2 linked regions of the Anolis sagrei genome follow. The protein of the gene in region 1 purifies or fractionates together with the protein of each later gene. This does not show direct contact. Links are inferred from orthologs where the notes say so. Each region holds a gene or a part of one and is shown on either strand. Other genes may lie near its edges.

Region 1 (7,548 bases):
GCAGCTGAAATTTATTTTTATTTATTTATTTACAACATTTCTACCCTGCCATTCTCCACCCTGGAGGGGGACTCAAGGCAGCTTACACTTAGGCAACTATTTGATGCCTTCAAACAATGTAGGTAAATTAAACATTTAAATCTTTATAAATAAAAATGTAATGTTCGTTTGTGGGATTAACATAACTCAGAAACCACTGGACGGATAGACACTAAATTTGGACAGAATACACCTAACAACCCAATGAGTGACCATCACTCAAAAAATTGATTTTGCCCTCACCCTCCCTAATTTGCAACGTTATTTTGAGGCGAGTGCTCTGACCTGGATCAACGACTGGGTGACCCTACAAAACAGAAAAATGTTAACCCTAGAGGGGTGGGACCTTAGAAGAGGATGGCATGCCTACATATGACAGAAAAATGAGCTGGTTTCACTATTGGCAAACAAAAGAATGCTTCAAAGAAGATCGAAAAGTAGGGTTCAATACCAAGAAATCAAGTTGGGATAAGATAATGAAAAAGGATCAAAAATTAATTAAAACTCTTTACCAAAGCCTGTTAGAATGGGACTTGGAAAAAGAGAGAATAAAAGAAAATATGACAAAATGGGCCATTGACATTGGCCATCCAATATTGTTAAAAGATTGGGAGAACATCTGGAAGAAGTTAAGGTTCACGAAAGCTACAAATATAATTGAAGGATGGTACAAGATATATTTTCGCTGGTACCTGACACCTCTACAAATATCAAAATTCAATAAAAATTAATAGATGCTGGAGATGCGAAAAAGAGCTAGGCACCCACTTCCATTTGTGGTGGGGGTGCAAAACAATCAAAAATTACTGGTCAGCAATACACAAATGTACCCAAAAAATTATTAGGGTGAAATTTGAGTTGAAACCGGAATTTTATCTTTTGAACATAACAAACTTGAATTTAGGTGAAAACGAAAAGATGTTTTTTTATATATCAGCTGCGGCAAGAACGACAATTGCCCAAAAATGGAAAGAGAAAGACCCTCTACAATTGGTGATTGGATAAACAAAATCCTAGACTATATGAGCATGGACAACTTATCACAATACATTGACAATAAAAATAAGAATAAACAGACGAATTGGGAGCCTCTGAGAAGGTTTATGCAGGAAGATATGCAAATCCAACTCTACGGATGAAGGATATACCAACTAATATAGAGAAAAGTAACTAAGTTATAATGCGGAAAAGTAAATGGACACAATTGTTTACGTCCCTGTGGATCGAACAGGAAGCCATCACCTCCCCTCTCCTCCTTTTTTTCTCTTCTTGCTCTTTCCTTTCTTTCTAAGGCGAGCACACTGTTGCTCCACTTTCACTGTAATCTTGGATGCCTTTTTCTCTCTCTTGAAAATGTTGAAAAATAAATATATATTAAAAAATGATTTTGTCATTTGGGAGTTGTAATTGCTGGGATTTATAGTTCACCTACAATCAAAGAGCATTCTGAACTTCACCAATGATGGACTTGAACCAAATTTGGCACACAGAACTCCCGTGAATAACAGAAAATACTGGAAGGGTTTGGTGGGCACTGACTTTGAGTTTTGGAGTTATAGTTTACCTACACCCAGAGAGCACTATGGACTCAAACAATCAAGGATTTAGACCAAACTTGGAATGAATACTCAATATGCCCACATGTGAACACTGATGGAGTTTGGAGAAAACAGACCTTGACATTTGGGAGTTGTAGTTGCTGAGATTTATAGTTTACCCACAATCAAAGAGCATTCTGAACCCGACCAACAATAGAACTGGACCAAACTTTCCACACATAACCCCCATGACCAACAGAAAATACTGTGTTTCCTGATGTTATCTGATGACCCTTCTGACGCCCCCTCATGACCCCCACAGGGGTCCCAACCCCCAGGTTGAGAAATGCTGGGTGAAGGCCATCCAGCCCAACTCCCTTCACCCGGGCAAAAAAACATAACCAAAGCCCTCCTGACAAAGAGCCATATATAGATAGTTATATATGATTCACACACACATACATATGAATATGACAGATATAGTTTCATAGATTTTAAAGGGACTCCTAAAGGACAATTCTATGTTACATGTTCCAGAGTAGGCAAACCAGACAATCTCTACATCAATACTGAAAAAGAAACAAGAAATACTGTTTACCCAGAAGCATAAAGAAAATACATATATTAGAAACCATCACTTCCTTATTACTTTATTTTCCAGATCACCAAGCTGGCCCACAGCAACGCATGGCAGGGGACGGCTAGTAGAATTATAAAATACAATGGTGTCAAAACTTCATTTATTCTACAGTGCCGATGCTTCCTGGGATACCTGCAATGCAAAATCCGGGGGGGGGGGGGATGACAATAGCCTCCATTCCAGGTGGATACCTTTGCATCCATCCCAGTGCTATCTTTTAGCAGCCAAGTATTCACAAACAGAAAAGAGGATGCAAGAGATAAGAGGGTGGAGGTGGGAGGAAAAATGAGATGAAAGAGTCTGGGTTAGCAACTTCCGTCTGGACTCTGGAGAGACGCCTCTACAGACACAATAGGTCTGAGGGGGGGGGGGGGGAGAGAGAGAGGCACAGAAAAAGGGGAGGGGGCGTCGAGGAGGGAGGGAGGGGGCGGGGCTGTAGGCGGCGCGTGCGCCGGGAAGGAAAAAAAAGGGGGGGGGGCAAGAAGGCGCGCGAGGACAGGAGGAAGAGGGGGCGCGCGCAGGGGATGGGGATGGGGCGCGCGCACGGGGAGTACACAGAACCAACGGACGCGCCGGAGCACAAAAGGGGGGGGGGGTTTCACCCTCAGGCGCTCTCTCACAGACTTAAAGGCATACACACCCCTCAAACGCGAAAGAAACCCCACTTTTCTTACCGTCATAGTAGTAGCAGACTTTCTTCTTGCCGCCTCCCTGACTGTATGCCATGAAGCCGCCTCTTGAGGGAATCCCCAGCTACCTCCGGATCAAGCGAGGCCGGCAGGGCACAGCAGAGATGCCTGGCGCTGAGGCGGCGACGCAGCTGCGTGAGAAAAAGCCGGCCCCGCCTCCTCCAGCCGCGGGCTCGTGCCACTCGAGGAAGGAACCACCCGCAGGGGGGGAGGAGCGGGGAAACGCACTCTCAGGCCCCGCCTTTTCGAAGGCATAGAATTGCGCTCCGGTACCAAACGAAGGCAACATGGTAACTTGCAGAGAGTTCCTGAGGCAGAGCCCTTTACACTTGAAAGAAAGAGCGAAAATTTATCAACTTCTTTTCTTCATCCCCCTCAATTTCGACGACACAATGGTACGGTCTGCGTAACGAAGCGGTCCGTTCTTGCTGTGCTCGACCTCGCTCAATCAGCATGTGCGGAGTGCGCAAGCGCAGAGGGCTTCTTTTCCCTGGCTGTGAGAGACGCTTTTCGGATGAGACCCCAGAGAATGTTGGCTCCGGCCTCGCGCGCCTTTTCCTCTTTCTTCCTTTTTGAAGGGTTTTGCAAAAGGCGGGCAGTTTTGTTGGACGAAATCCCTACAAAATAGTTCCCCTCCAAGCCCATTCTCCCTCTTAAGCTCTCACATAATGATTTTGAAAGAAAATGCAGGAAAATCTAAATAACATATTGAAGTGGTCCCTTTATTAGGCCAAATAAAAGGCCCCCAACACATTGCACACGTTTTCGAAGGCCACTGGGTTCATCATCGGGTATGGATGTTAAAAAGATAGTGTATTGTGTGCCTTTATCCTATTAAATAAAGGCACACAATCAGGCCTGTAGCGAGGGGGTGGTTTTAGGGGTTCAACCCCCCCCCCCCGAAATGTTTCAGATTTTTTTAAAAAACCTGGTTTACTCATGAATATTAACTGGTTAACCAAATCCCCATGCTAAGTCTGAGATGCAAAAAATTAAGAGTCCCTCCAGAACTGTAAGCACTATCTCAAGCAAATATTGACAATTTATTCACACTGTCATTACTTGCAGCAATAGCCAATGTAGTGAAGCAACCAAGTTGGGGGGGGGGGGGTGTTGAATGCTCTCATTAAGGAGGCCAGACTTGGTGGAGGTGGCTGACAGGGGCTAGCGAGGAGGAGCTGAGGAGCCTTTTAATCAAGGTGAAAGAAGAAAGCGCAAAAGCCGGGTTGCAGCTAAACGTCAAAAAAAAAAAACAAGATTATGGCAACAAGAATGATTGACAACTGGAAAATAGAGGGAGAAACCGTGGAGGCCATGACAGACTTTGTATTTCTAGGTGCAAAGATTACTGCAGATGCAGACTGTGGCCAGGAAATCAGAAGACGCTTACTTCTTGGGAGGAGAGCAATGTCCAATCTCGATAAAATAGTAAAGAGTAGAGACATCACACTGGCAACAAAGATCCGCCTAGTCAAAGCCATGGTATTCCCTGTAGTAACCTACGGATGTGAGAGCTGGACCTTAGGGAAGGCTGAGCGAAGGAAGATCGATGCTTTTGAGCTGTGGTGTTGGAGGAAAGTTCTGAGAGTGCCTTGGACTGCGAGAAGATCCAACCAGTCCATCCTCCAGGAAATAAAGCCCGACTGCTCACTGGAGGGAAAGATACTAGAGACAAAGTTGAAGTACTTTGGCCACATCATGAGGAGACAGGAAAGTCTAGAGAAGACAATTATGCTGGGGAAAGTGGAAGACAAAAGGAAGAGGGGCCGACCAAGGGCAAGATGGATGGATGGCATCCTTGAAGTGACTGGACTGACCTTGAGGGAGCTGGGGGTGGTAACGGCCGACAGGGAGCTCTGGCGTGGGCTGGTCCATGAGGTCACGAAGAGTCGGAGACGACTGAACGAATGAACAACAATTGAAGGCTGCTCTGCCCCCTGCTGTGCTCTTCGTTTCAGTGTGAGCTAGGAGGCAGGTTTCAACCCCCCCCCCCCCCGAAATTTTCAACCCCCCCCCAAATTTTCAACCCCCCCCCCCAAAATTGTCAACCCTCCCCGAATTTGTTTTCTGGCTACGGCCCTGCACACAATACACTATCTTTTTAAGGGGTCGGCTTTGACGGGTCGACTGAGCAACGACCGCTCACAAACTAATACCCATGCCAACATAAAGGCAGATCAAATAGCACACCAACTCTTGAAGAATGGGAAACCCAACCTTGCCACCAAAGTAGGAAAGAAACCAATAGCCAGACAACAAGAGATTGAGAACAACAACCTCCATGAACCCTTTACATCTACAGAATTGGACATGGCTCTCAATAAATGTAAAAATGGCAAAGCAGCTGGCCTGGATGATGTACGGATGGAACAAATCAAGAACTTTGATTCAAAAGCAAGACACTGGCTGCTGGAGCTGATGAACAACTGCACTGCATCCTGTCAGATCCCCAAAATCTGGAGGAAAGCAAGAGTCATTGCCATCTTGAAACCAGGCAAAGACCGTAATGATCCAAAAAGCTATAGACCAATCTCCCTGTTACGCCATCTTTACAAAGTTCTGGAGAGACTTATTTTGCATAGAATTATGGAAAACATAGACCCCTGTCTGATCCCACAGCAATCTGGCTTCAGGAAAGGCAAAAGGTGCATATCGCAAGTGCTGAACCTGACTCAGCACATAGAAGATGGCTTTGAAAGGCAGCAGATCACAGGAGCTGTCTTCATCGACTTGTCAGCAGCCTATGATACTGTGAACCACTGCCTCCTCCTGAGAAAAATTATAATATCACAAAGGACTACCATCTCACCCGCCTCATAGGAAACCTGCTACAAAACAGGAGTTTCTTTGTTGAGTTCCAGGGCCAGAGAGGCAGATGGCGGAAACAGAAGAACGGCCTGCCTCAGGGGAGCGTGCTTGCTCCATCCATGTTCAACATTTACACAAATGATCAGCCACTGCCAGAAGGGACAGAGAGTTTCATCTATGCTGATGATCGTGCCATTACCACTCAAGCAGGGAGCTTTGAGATGGTAGAACAGAAGCTCTTCGAAGCTCTAGGTGCTCTTACTGCCTATTACAGGGAAAACCAGCTGATCCCTAATCCATCTAAAACACAGACATGTGCTTTTCACCTTAAGAACAGACAAGCATCCCGAGCTCTGAGGATTACCTGGGAAGGAATCCCACTGGAGCATTGCAGCGCACCCAAATACCTTGGAATCACTCTGGACCTACAAGATGCACTGCCTGAACATCAAGCAAAAAGTGGGTGCTAGAAACAATATCATATGAAAGCTGACTGGCACAACCTGGGGATCACAACCAGACACAGTGAAGACATCTGCCCTTGCGTTATGCTACTCTGCTGCTGAGTACGCATGCCCAGTGTGGAACACATCTCACCACACTAAAACAGTGGATGTGGCTCTTAATGAGACATGGCGCATTATCACAGGGTGTCTGCGCCCTACACCACTGGAGAAATTACACTGCCTAGCAGGTATTGCACCACCTGATATCTGCCGGGAAGTAGCAGCCAATAGTGAAAGGACCAAGGCAGAGACATCTCCAGCTCATCCCTTGTTTGGGTATCAGCCAGCACATCAATGACTCAAATCAAGAAATAGTTTTCTAAGATCTACAGAGACACTCGCTGGAACACTTCAGCAAGCGAGAGTCCAAAAGTGGCAGGCTCAAATCCAGAACCTCAACCAATGGCTGATACCAAATGAGAGACTCCCCCCTGGGCACACAGAGGACTGGGCGACTTGGAAGGCACTGAACAGACTGCGCTCTAGCACTACGAGATGCAGAGCCAACCTTCAGAAATGGGGCTACAAAGTGGAATCCACAACATGCGAGTGTGGAGAAGAGCAAACCACTGACCACCTGCTGCAATGCAACCTGAGCCCTACCACATGCACAATGGAGGATCTCCTTGCGGCAACACCAGAAGCACTCCAGGTGGTCAGATTTTGCTGTCTGTGCCCCTGTTTTGCTGTCTGTGCCCCTGTTCAGAAGATTTCACCTCATTTTCTGTCCCTGTGATAATTGGATTTTGAAAAATTTAGCTTGTGGATACAAGAGTTGATGAGAACTTCCACGGAGACACCTTTTTGCCATGTTACCTCTTCCAGAAATTATTTTCCCTTTCCAGGAGTAGATTTCTTTCACTTCTGGTTGTCTCACCCCAGTTTGTAACTATGAGTTGTTTGTAAGTTGAATGTTTGTAACTTGGGGATTGCCAGTTTAACTTCATCATATGGCAGTTTAGATAGAGTCTAAGGGCCCTTCTACAGTGCCTTCAATTCCAGGAGGAACTGGGAGACATCTTATTTTAACCTAGTTCCTCCTGGGATTTTGTTCCCACCTCCAACCCAAACCCTGAGCTTTCCCTTGGGGGAGTAACTAAATCCCTCCTGGGTTAACCAAAGATCAGCCAGTGGCATAAAAATGGGGGGACTTCCCCCCCCCATCTCCTGACATGTCATTTTCGTGCATCAGGAGACATCTGTAGGTGAACCTGTGCCGCCAGCAGACCACTCAGGTATGTTTTTGAGTGAGAAATGGGCTGAGAGGGTGACTGGTTGACTTTGGTTGACTCGGGAGGGTATCCGGCCAATCTCTGGGGGGAACCTGG
Region 2 (7,821 bases), on another chromosome or scaffold:
TTGTGAGATTTCCTGCCTTGATATTCTGGGTTATATGACTGTTTGGAAGGGCCCTTGCTGACATACTCCCAAAATTCAATTCTGAAGTCCACTGCCAACAGTAGGACTATGGCCACAAAGTTCTTCCACACCTATAGTGGGGCATCATGTTCCTCTGCCCACAAAGTTCCTCTTTAACCGTGGGCATACACACCTGCACTATTCAAAGTCCTTACAGCTAGATCTGCAACTAGAATAACTAGAATAAATTTAAAATTTCCAATGTAGAATGTTACCTATTTTGAAAAATGTGGTTGCCAAGGGCTGCCTTAGCCTGTTTAATATGTACATATATAGTCATAGAAGAAGTACATTCCATATAAAAACTGTGCCTTTAAGAATTTTTGCTGAACAAACAGTGTAGCCCTATACATTTTATTGAGAATTACTTCTCATCAAACTCAAAGTCTTATCATTCAAATAATTTAGTTAACACTTCATAAATAATGTCATTTTTACCAAGGGCAACAAAGTATACGTTTTGGAAAGTTTTAAATTATCTGATTTGTATGGTTTTACCTATCATTTCAATAAAAGATAAACTAAACCCAGGATCAGATGTCCATCTTTCAGGAATGCTTTAGTTGTACATTCCTGTATGGAAGTGAGTTGGACAAGGGTGCTTTCACACAGCCATATAACCGAGAATATCAAGGCAGAAAATCTGACAATATTTGCTTTTAACTGGGGGCCCTTCTCCTCCTCCTATATCCCAGAATATCAAGGCAGAAAATCCCACATTATCTGAATGTGGACTCAGATAACCCAGTTCAAACCAGAGATTGTGGGATTTTCTGCCATGATATTCTGGAATATAAACTTTTAACTTTATTGGCATAAAAAAATCCACTTCTGTTTCTTTTTGCTTAGGTAAAGCAGATTCTATGAAAACACCAACAACCAAAAGAAACAGAAGTTCTGGAATCAAACTTGCATTTTTGAGCCCTTCCACACAGCTGTATAACCCAGAATATCAAGGCAGAAAATCCCACAATATCTGCTTTGAACTGGGTTATCTGAGTCCACACTGCCATATATTCCAGTTCAAAGCATATAATGTGGGATTTTATTCAGCTGTGTGGAAGGGACCCCAGACAATGCAGCAAGACCATCTCCAAATAAACACGCACAGCATCGGACTTGATGGCTGCAATACTACGTACATCCACAGTCCCATTCCAGCGATAGTTAGTTGGAAAGCAATCTGGCATGTAGTTCTGGCATGGGCCAACTTGGGCCCTCCAGGTGTTTTGGACTTCCACCATTCCTAACAGCCTCAGGCTCTTTCCGCTTAAGTGGCTTGGGGGGGAAAAGAAAGGGCCTGAGGCTGCTAGGAATGGTGAGAGTTGAAGTCCAAAACACCCGGAGGACCCAAGTTGGCCCATGCCTGAAATTTACTTCTATGTAGATATGACTTTGCCAGCAGCATTTATTCAGAAGTGAGCCAAATTTACTGTCTGATATGTGAATTCCATCTACATCAGGTATCGGCAAACTTCGGGCCTCCGAGTGTTTTGGACTTCAACTCCCACAATTCCTAACAACCTCAGTCCCTTCCCGCTTAAGCATCTGGGGGGAGGGGGGAGAAAGGGCCTGAGGCTGTTAGGAATGGTGAGAGTTGGAAGTCCAAAACACCTGGAGGGCAAACTGGGCCTCTGGGTGTTTTGGACTTCAACTCCCACAATTCCTAACAGCCTACCTGTTGTGAGGAATGGTGAGAGTTGAAGTCCAAAACACCCTGAGGGCCCAAGTTGGCCCATGCCTGAAATTTACTTCTATGTAAATACAAAATTGCCAGCAGCATTATTCAGAAGTGAGCCAAATTTACTGTTTGATATGTGACTTCCATCTACACCAGGCATCGACAAACTTCGGGCCTCTGGGTGTTTTGGACTTCAACTCCCACAATTCCTAACAGCCTACCTGTTGTGAGGAATTGTGGGAGTTGAAGTCCAAAACATCCGAGAGGCCCAAAGTTTGCCGATGCCTGACCTACAGTGAACAGAACATCTCTATAGGATACTTCCCTAGGAACAAAACAGGTGACTTGAAAAGAATGGAAAAAAACAGAGCACGAAACAGCGAGAGGATGAGGAGGTTATGAGGAAATCATTTCAAGATGTCATCGTGAACGAGAAGAAAACAACACACAGAAAGGCATCTTTTGACAGATGCGCCTGTAACCTGGCCCTTAACCGTACCCAAAAGCTTCCCACTGCCGGAATCACAGAAGAAGGAACTGAACAGGACAAACCTGGGCTGGAACTCCCAAAGGAAGCCTGCAACAAGCAACAGGAGAAGAAGGAGTCAAAGGGGGGCTCTGCCACACCAGGAGGGCTCCCAAGTTTCCAAGCCACAGACAAGACAAGACACCCTTCTTCCACCTTTCCTCTCCTCCCTTGGCTCTTTCCAACTTCCCTTTGTCTTTCTTTCTTGAGATGTGAGACTATTCTCTCTCTTCTCTCTCTCTCTCTGTGTCCCCATCCCTCTCTCTCTCGCACCTTCAGAGCCTCCATCCTTTTCCCAAACCGGTCCTTCCTTCCTCGTCTCTTTCTACCTCCTCTCTCTCAGTCTCTCATCCTCAGAAATATGTCTCGCCCCCCAAACAGGACCCCGGCCGTGCCCACCGCCGCTGACGCCCAGAGCCGGGCTCCTGACTGACCATCGCTCTGGGTGGGGACTGGGCGGGCGGGCAGGCAGGCACCAACTGCGGCCTAGTCGCCCAGGCGGCGCTCCGCCGGCGCCCGAGGCTCCCTCCGCCCCCAGCCGGCCCTGGAAGCCCCCTCGGCGGGCCCGCGGCCTCCGGAGGGCTCTCCCAGCTCCGAGGAGGGGGCCTCCGGGCGCCGTCCCGCCTTCCAGTCCGGCCAGGCGCCCTCCGGACCCCCGCGCCCCCGCCCGCTCTCCCCGCTCACCTCCGCCATATTGGGAGCGCTCGGCCTGAGCGGCAGCGATGCGCCAAGTGCCCGGATGGGGCCGCTAAGCCAATGGCAGCGCCGAGGCCCAGGAGAGCTCGGGACGGGCGGGGAAGGCAGGCAGGGAGGGGCCCAGAGAGAGAGGGAGAGAGAGAAGACTCTGGGCGGGGAGCCGCCTTGGAAGGGAGGGAGGCACTCAGCCTTCCTTCCCCCACCCCGTATATAGACAGAACACCCATTCGCAATGCTATCAGGCAAACTTGGGCCCTCCAGGTGTTTTGGACTTCAACTCCCACAATTCCTAACTGTTAGGGATTGTGGGAGTTGGAGTCCAAAACACCTGAAAAGGCCCAAGTTTGCCCACCGTACCTGTTAACTGGCACAGAGAGAGGCAAGAGAAAGGGGAGAAAGGAGAGAGAGGGGAGAAGGAGAAAAGAGAGGGGGAGAGAGAGGAGGAGAGGGGAAGAGACACAGAAGATAAAAGAGGAGAGAAGAGAGGGAGAGAAAGGAGAAGAGAAAGGAGAGGGAAAGAGAAGAGAGGGAGACCAGAGGGAATAGAAAAGGGGAGAGAAGAGAGGGAGAGAGAAGAAAGGGAGACCAGAATTTATTTATTTATTTATTTATTTCATCTACTTATACCCCGCCCTTCTCACCCGGGGGGGGGGGGGCTCAGGGTGGCTTACAGGAAAGGCACAATTAGATGCCCAAATCACACAACAAACAATACAAAATATAACAATTCAACAATTAAAATAAAACATCAATACCTAATAAAATCATAAAAACTATCTCATGTCAGAGTCCATATATCAGAGTCCATATATCCATTCCATTCCATTGTCCTCGTCTATCGACAGGTCCTTTAGTTAGTTGTCAGCATGGCCAAAAGCTTGGTCCCACATCCAGGTCTTTAGTTTTTTCCTAAACGCTAGAAGGGAAGTCGTCGATCTGATCTCCCCGGGGAGTGAGTCCCACAGGTGAGGGGCCACCACTGAGAAGGCCCTGCTCCTCGTCCCCGCCAGCCTCACTTGTGCCACTGGCGGGGTCGAGAGCAGGGCCTCTCCAGAAGATCTTAAACTTCGAGGTGGGATGTAGAGGGAGATCCGTTCGGGTTCCAGGCTCAGCGATGAGTCCAGGATCACTCCCAAGCTGCGAACCTGCGTTTTTAGGGGGAGTGTAACCCCGTCTAACACAGGCTGTAACCCTATACCCTGTTCGGCCTTCCGACTGACCAGTAGGACCTCTGTCTTGTCTGGATTCAAGGAAGAGAAAAGGGGAAAGAAGAGAGGGAAAGAGAAGAGAGGGAGACCGGAGGGAAGACAAAAGAGGAGAGAAGAGAGGGAGAGAAAGGAGAGACAAGACAGGAGGGAGGAGAGGAGATAAAAAGGAGAAAAAGAGGAGAGGGAGACAAGAGAGGGAGGGAAAGGAGAGGGAGAAAGAGGAGAGACAAGAGGAGAGGGAGAGAAAAGAGTGGAGAAGGAGAGGAGGAGAGGAGAAGAAAGAGAGCAAGGGGGGGGGGAGAGAGAGAGTGGAGAGAAAAAAGAGAGGAGAGGAGGGAAAAAAGGGAGAGAAGGGAATTGTGTTTTTGAAGTCCCAAACACCTGGACTGGCCCAAGTTTGCCCACCGTACCTGTTAACTGGCATAGAGAGGGGCAAGAGAAAGGGGAGAAAGAAGAGAGAGGGGAGAGGAAGAAAAGAGAGGAGGGGGAGAGAGAGGAGATAAAAAAGAGGAGAGGGAGAGAAATGAGAAGAGAAAGGAGAGGGAGAGAGAAGAGAGGGAGACCAGAGGGAAGAGAAAAGGGGAGAGAAGAGAGGGAGAAAGGAGAGACAAGAGAGGAGGGAGGAGAGGAGATAAAAAGGAGAGGGAGAGAAAGGAGAAGAGGAGAGGGAGAGAAAAATGGGTTAGGGATTGTGGGAGTTGAAGTCCAAAACACCTGGATGGGCCGAAGTTTGCCCACCGTACCTGTCAACTGGCATAGAGAGAGGCAAGAGAAAGGGGAGAAAGAAGAGAGGGGGGGAGGAAGAAAAGAGAGGAGGGGGGAGAGAGAGGAGATAAAAAAGAGGAGAGGGAGAGAAATTAGAAGAGAAAGGAGAGGGAGAGAGAAGAGAGGGAGACCAGAGGGAAGAGAAAAGGGGAGAGAAGAGAGGGAGAGAGAAGAGAGGGAGACCAGAGGGAAGAGAAAAGGGGAAAGAAGAGAGGGAGAGAAAGGAGAGGGAAAGAGAAGAGAGGGAGACCAGAAGGAAGAGAAAAGGGGAAAGAAGAGAGGGAGAGAGAAGAGAGGGAGACCGGAGGGAAGACAAAAGAGGAGAGAAGAGAGGGAGAGAAAGGAGAGACAAGACAGGAGGGAGGAGAGATAAAAAGGAGAGGAAGAGAAAGGAGAAGAGAAAGAGGAGAGGGAGACAAGAGAGGGAGAGAAAGGAGAGGGAGAAAGAGGAGAGACAAGAGGAAAGAAGAGGGAGAGAAAAGAGTGGAGGAGGAGAGAGGACAAAAGAGAGGAGAGAAGGTGAGGAGAGGAAAGAGAGCAAGGGAGGAGAGAGTGGAGAGAAAAAAGAAAGGAGAGGGGGGAAAGAGGGAAAGAAGGGAATTGTGTTTTTGAAGTCCCAAACACCTGGAGGGCCCAAGTTTGCCACTATGCCTGTTAACTAGTATAGGGGGAGAGAAGAGAGGGGAGGTGGAAAAAAAGAGAAGAAAGAGGAAGGAGAAAAAGTGAAGGGAGAGGAGAGGGGAAGAGATGAGAGGGAGAGGGGAAAGAGAAAAGGAGACAGAAAAGAGGAGAGAGAAAAGGAGGAGAGATGAGAGAGAAAGGAGAGAGAGAGAAGAGACAGAGGAGAGAAGAAGTGGGGAGAGAAAACTCTAGGTTGAGGAGTAGCCTTTGGAGGGATATATACAAACTGTACTCTTCAATCCCCCACCCCAATATATACACACACGCCCCCAATATATATACAGAACATCCATTAACAGCAAGTGCTAGCAATGCTATCAGGCATGGCCAAGCTTAGGCCCTCCAGCTGTTTTAGACTCCAACTCCCACAATTCCTAACAGCTGACAACAGCCCAAGTTTACCCACCATGCCTGTTAACCAGGTACATGTACAGTACATGTCCTGAAGGTAACATTTTAAATGAGAGAAGGAGACAGGAGAAAGAAGAGACAGCTAGAGAGGGGAGGGATAAAGAAGAGAGACAAGAAAGAGAAAGGAGAGGAGAGAGAAGACTCTGGGACAAGGAGCAGCCTTCGAATGGATATATACAAAGTCCAAAATACTTGGAAGGCCCAAGTTTGCCCACCATGCCTGTTAACTAGCTACATGTACAGTACGTGCCTTGGAGGTAATATTTTAAATGAGAGGGGGAGAGAAAAGAGAAAGAAGAGGGAGAAGAGACTGATGAGAGAGAAGAGACGAGAAGAGAGAGGAGAAAGAGAGAGGAGAGAAGAGTGGGATGAGAAGCAGCCTTCAAATGGATACACACAAACTTCAATTGCCCCCCCCCCCCCCATGTATACAGGCCTCCCAATATGTGTTTGTGTGTGTGTGTAGGCCCGTAGCCAGGATTTCATTTCGGGGGGGGGGGGGGGGGCTGAGTCTGAGTGAAAGAGCGTCTAGCCTAGCAAACCTTTTGTATCATTACCCCAATACCCCCATGCATATGGGATATATTGAGTAGGGTGATCAGATCATGATATGACTTAACATAAGTTTAAATAATGCACCAGTAAGGCCTTTTCGCGAACCACCATGAAAATTTCGGGGGGGGGGGGGGTGCTGACCCCCCCCCCCCCGGCTACATGCCTGTCTGTCTGTCTGTCTGTGTGTGTGTATAGAACACACATTAACAGCAAATACTAGCAATGCTATCAGTATTTACCAAACTGGAAGCTGCTCTGATTCCCCTCCAGGGTGAGATAGAGTACGGTAGGAATACAATAATAAATATCAAGCATGGGCAAACTTTGGTCCTCTAGGTGTTCTGGACTTCAGCTCCCTCAATTCCTAACAGTCAGATCCCATGGTGCCCTAGCATGAAGACATGGCAATTAAAGTGGGAGCAAACTATACAGCAAAGTGGGTGTTTTGGAGTTCAACTCCCACAATTGAAGTCCAAAACACTGGAGAGTCAAAGTTTGTCCATGCTTGCAACAACAACTCTCTCTGTGTGTGTGTGTGTGTGTGTGTGTGTTGTTCATTCGTTCAGTCGCTTCCGACTTCGTGACCTCATGGTCCAGCCCACGCCAGAGATCCCTGTTGGCCATCACCACCCCAGCTCCTTCAAGGTCAATTCAGTCACTTCAGGGATCCCATCCATCCATCCATCTTGCCCTTGGTCAGCCCCTCTTCCTTTTACCTTCCATTTTCCCCAGCATAATTGTCTTATCTAAGCTTTCCTTTCTTCTCATGATGTGGCCAAAGTACTTCATCTTTGCCTCTAATATCCTTCCCTCCAACGAGCAGTTGGGCTTTATTTCCTGAAGTATGGACTGGTTGGATCTCCTCGCAGTCCAAGGCACTCTCAGAACTTTCCTCCAACACCACAGTTCAAAAGCATCTATCTTCCTTCGCTCAGCCTTCCCTATGGTCCAGCTCTCACATTAAGTGACTATGGGGAATTTTATTTATTTTATTTTATTTTTATTTATTTTATTTTACTATTCTTGTATACCGCTGTATCTCAAGCCTGAGGGCGACTCACAGCGGTTTCCAGACAGTAAACACAAAGACAATAAAAACAGCAGCAATCAATATACCATAGCAGTTAAACTACACAATTCCATAACTAGCAATAACAACATCAATACACAATTATCACAACCCCCCCCCCCCAATCGCCTCGTCATCCAAAACGTCATCCAAATTCATCGTCCATTGT

Evidence for each region. Proteins that work in one complex are often made in the same cells at the same time.
Region 2: the proteins of HDAC2 (region 1) and MIER3 purify together in Homo sapiens (affinity purification with mass spectrometry; 3 studies listed by BioGRID and IntAct, with this or other methods). This does not show direct contact. The link is inferred for Anolis sagrei from reciprocal best matches to the Homo sapiens genes HDAC2 and MIER3.

Annotation. Positions count from the first base shown.
Region 1 is NC_090021.1:91,450,180-91,457,727, reverse strand, and holds the start of HDAC2 (histone deacetylase 2), read right to left. Parts: upstream 3,059-7,548; 5' UTR 2,944-3,058; coding exon 2,892-2,943; intron 1-2,891. UniProt on the Homo sapiens protein: Histone deacetylase that catalyzes the deacetylation of lysine residues on the N-terminal part of the core histones (H2A, H2B, H3 and H4).
Region 2 is NC_090022.1:271,878,454-271,886,274, reverse strand, and holds the start of MIER3 (mesoderm induction early response protein 3), read right to left. Parts: upstream 3,030-7,821; 5' UTR 2,961-3,029; coding exon 2,952-2,960; intron 2,319-2,951; coding exon 2,294-2,318; exon of another isoform or gene 2,241-2,293; intron 1-2,240.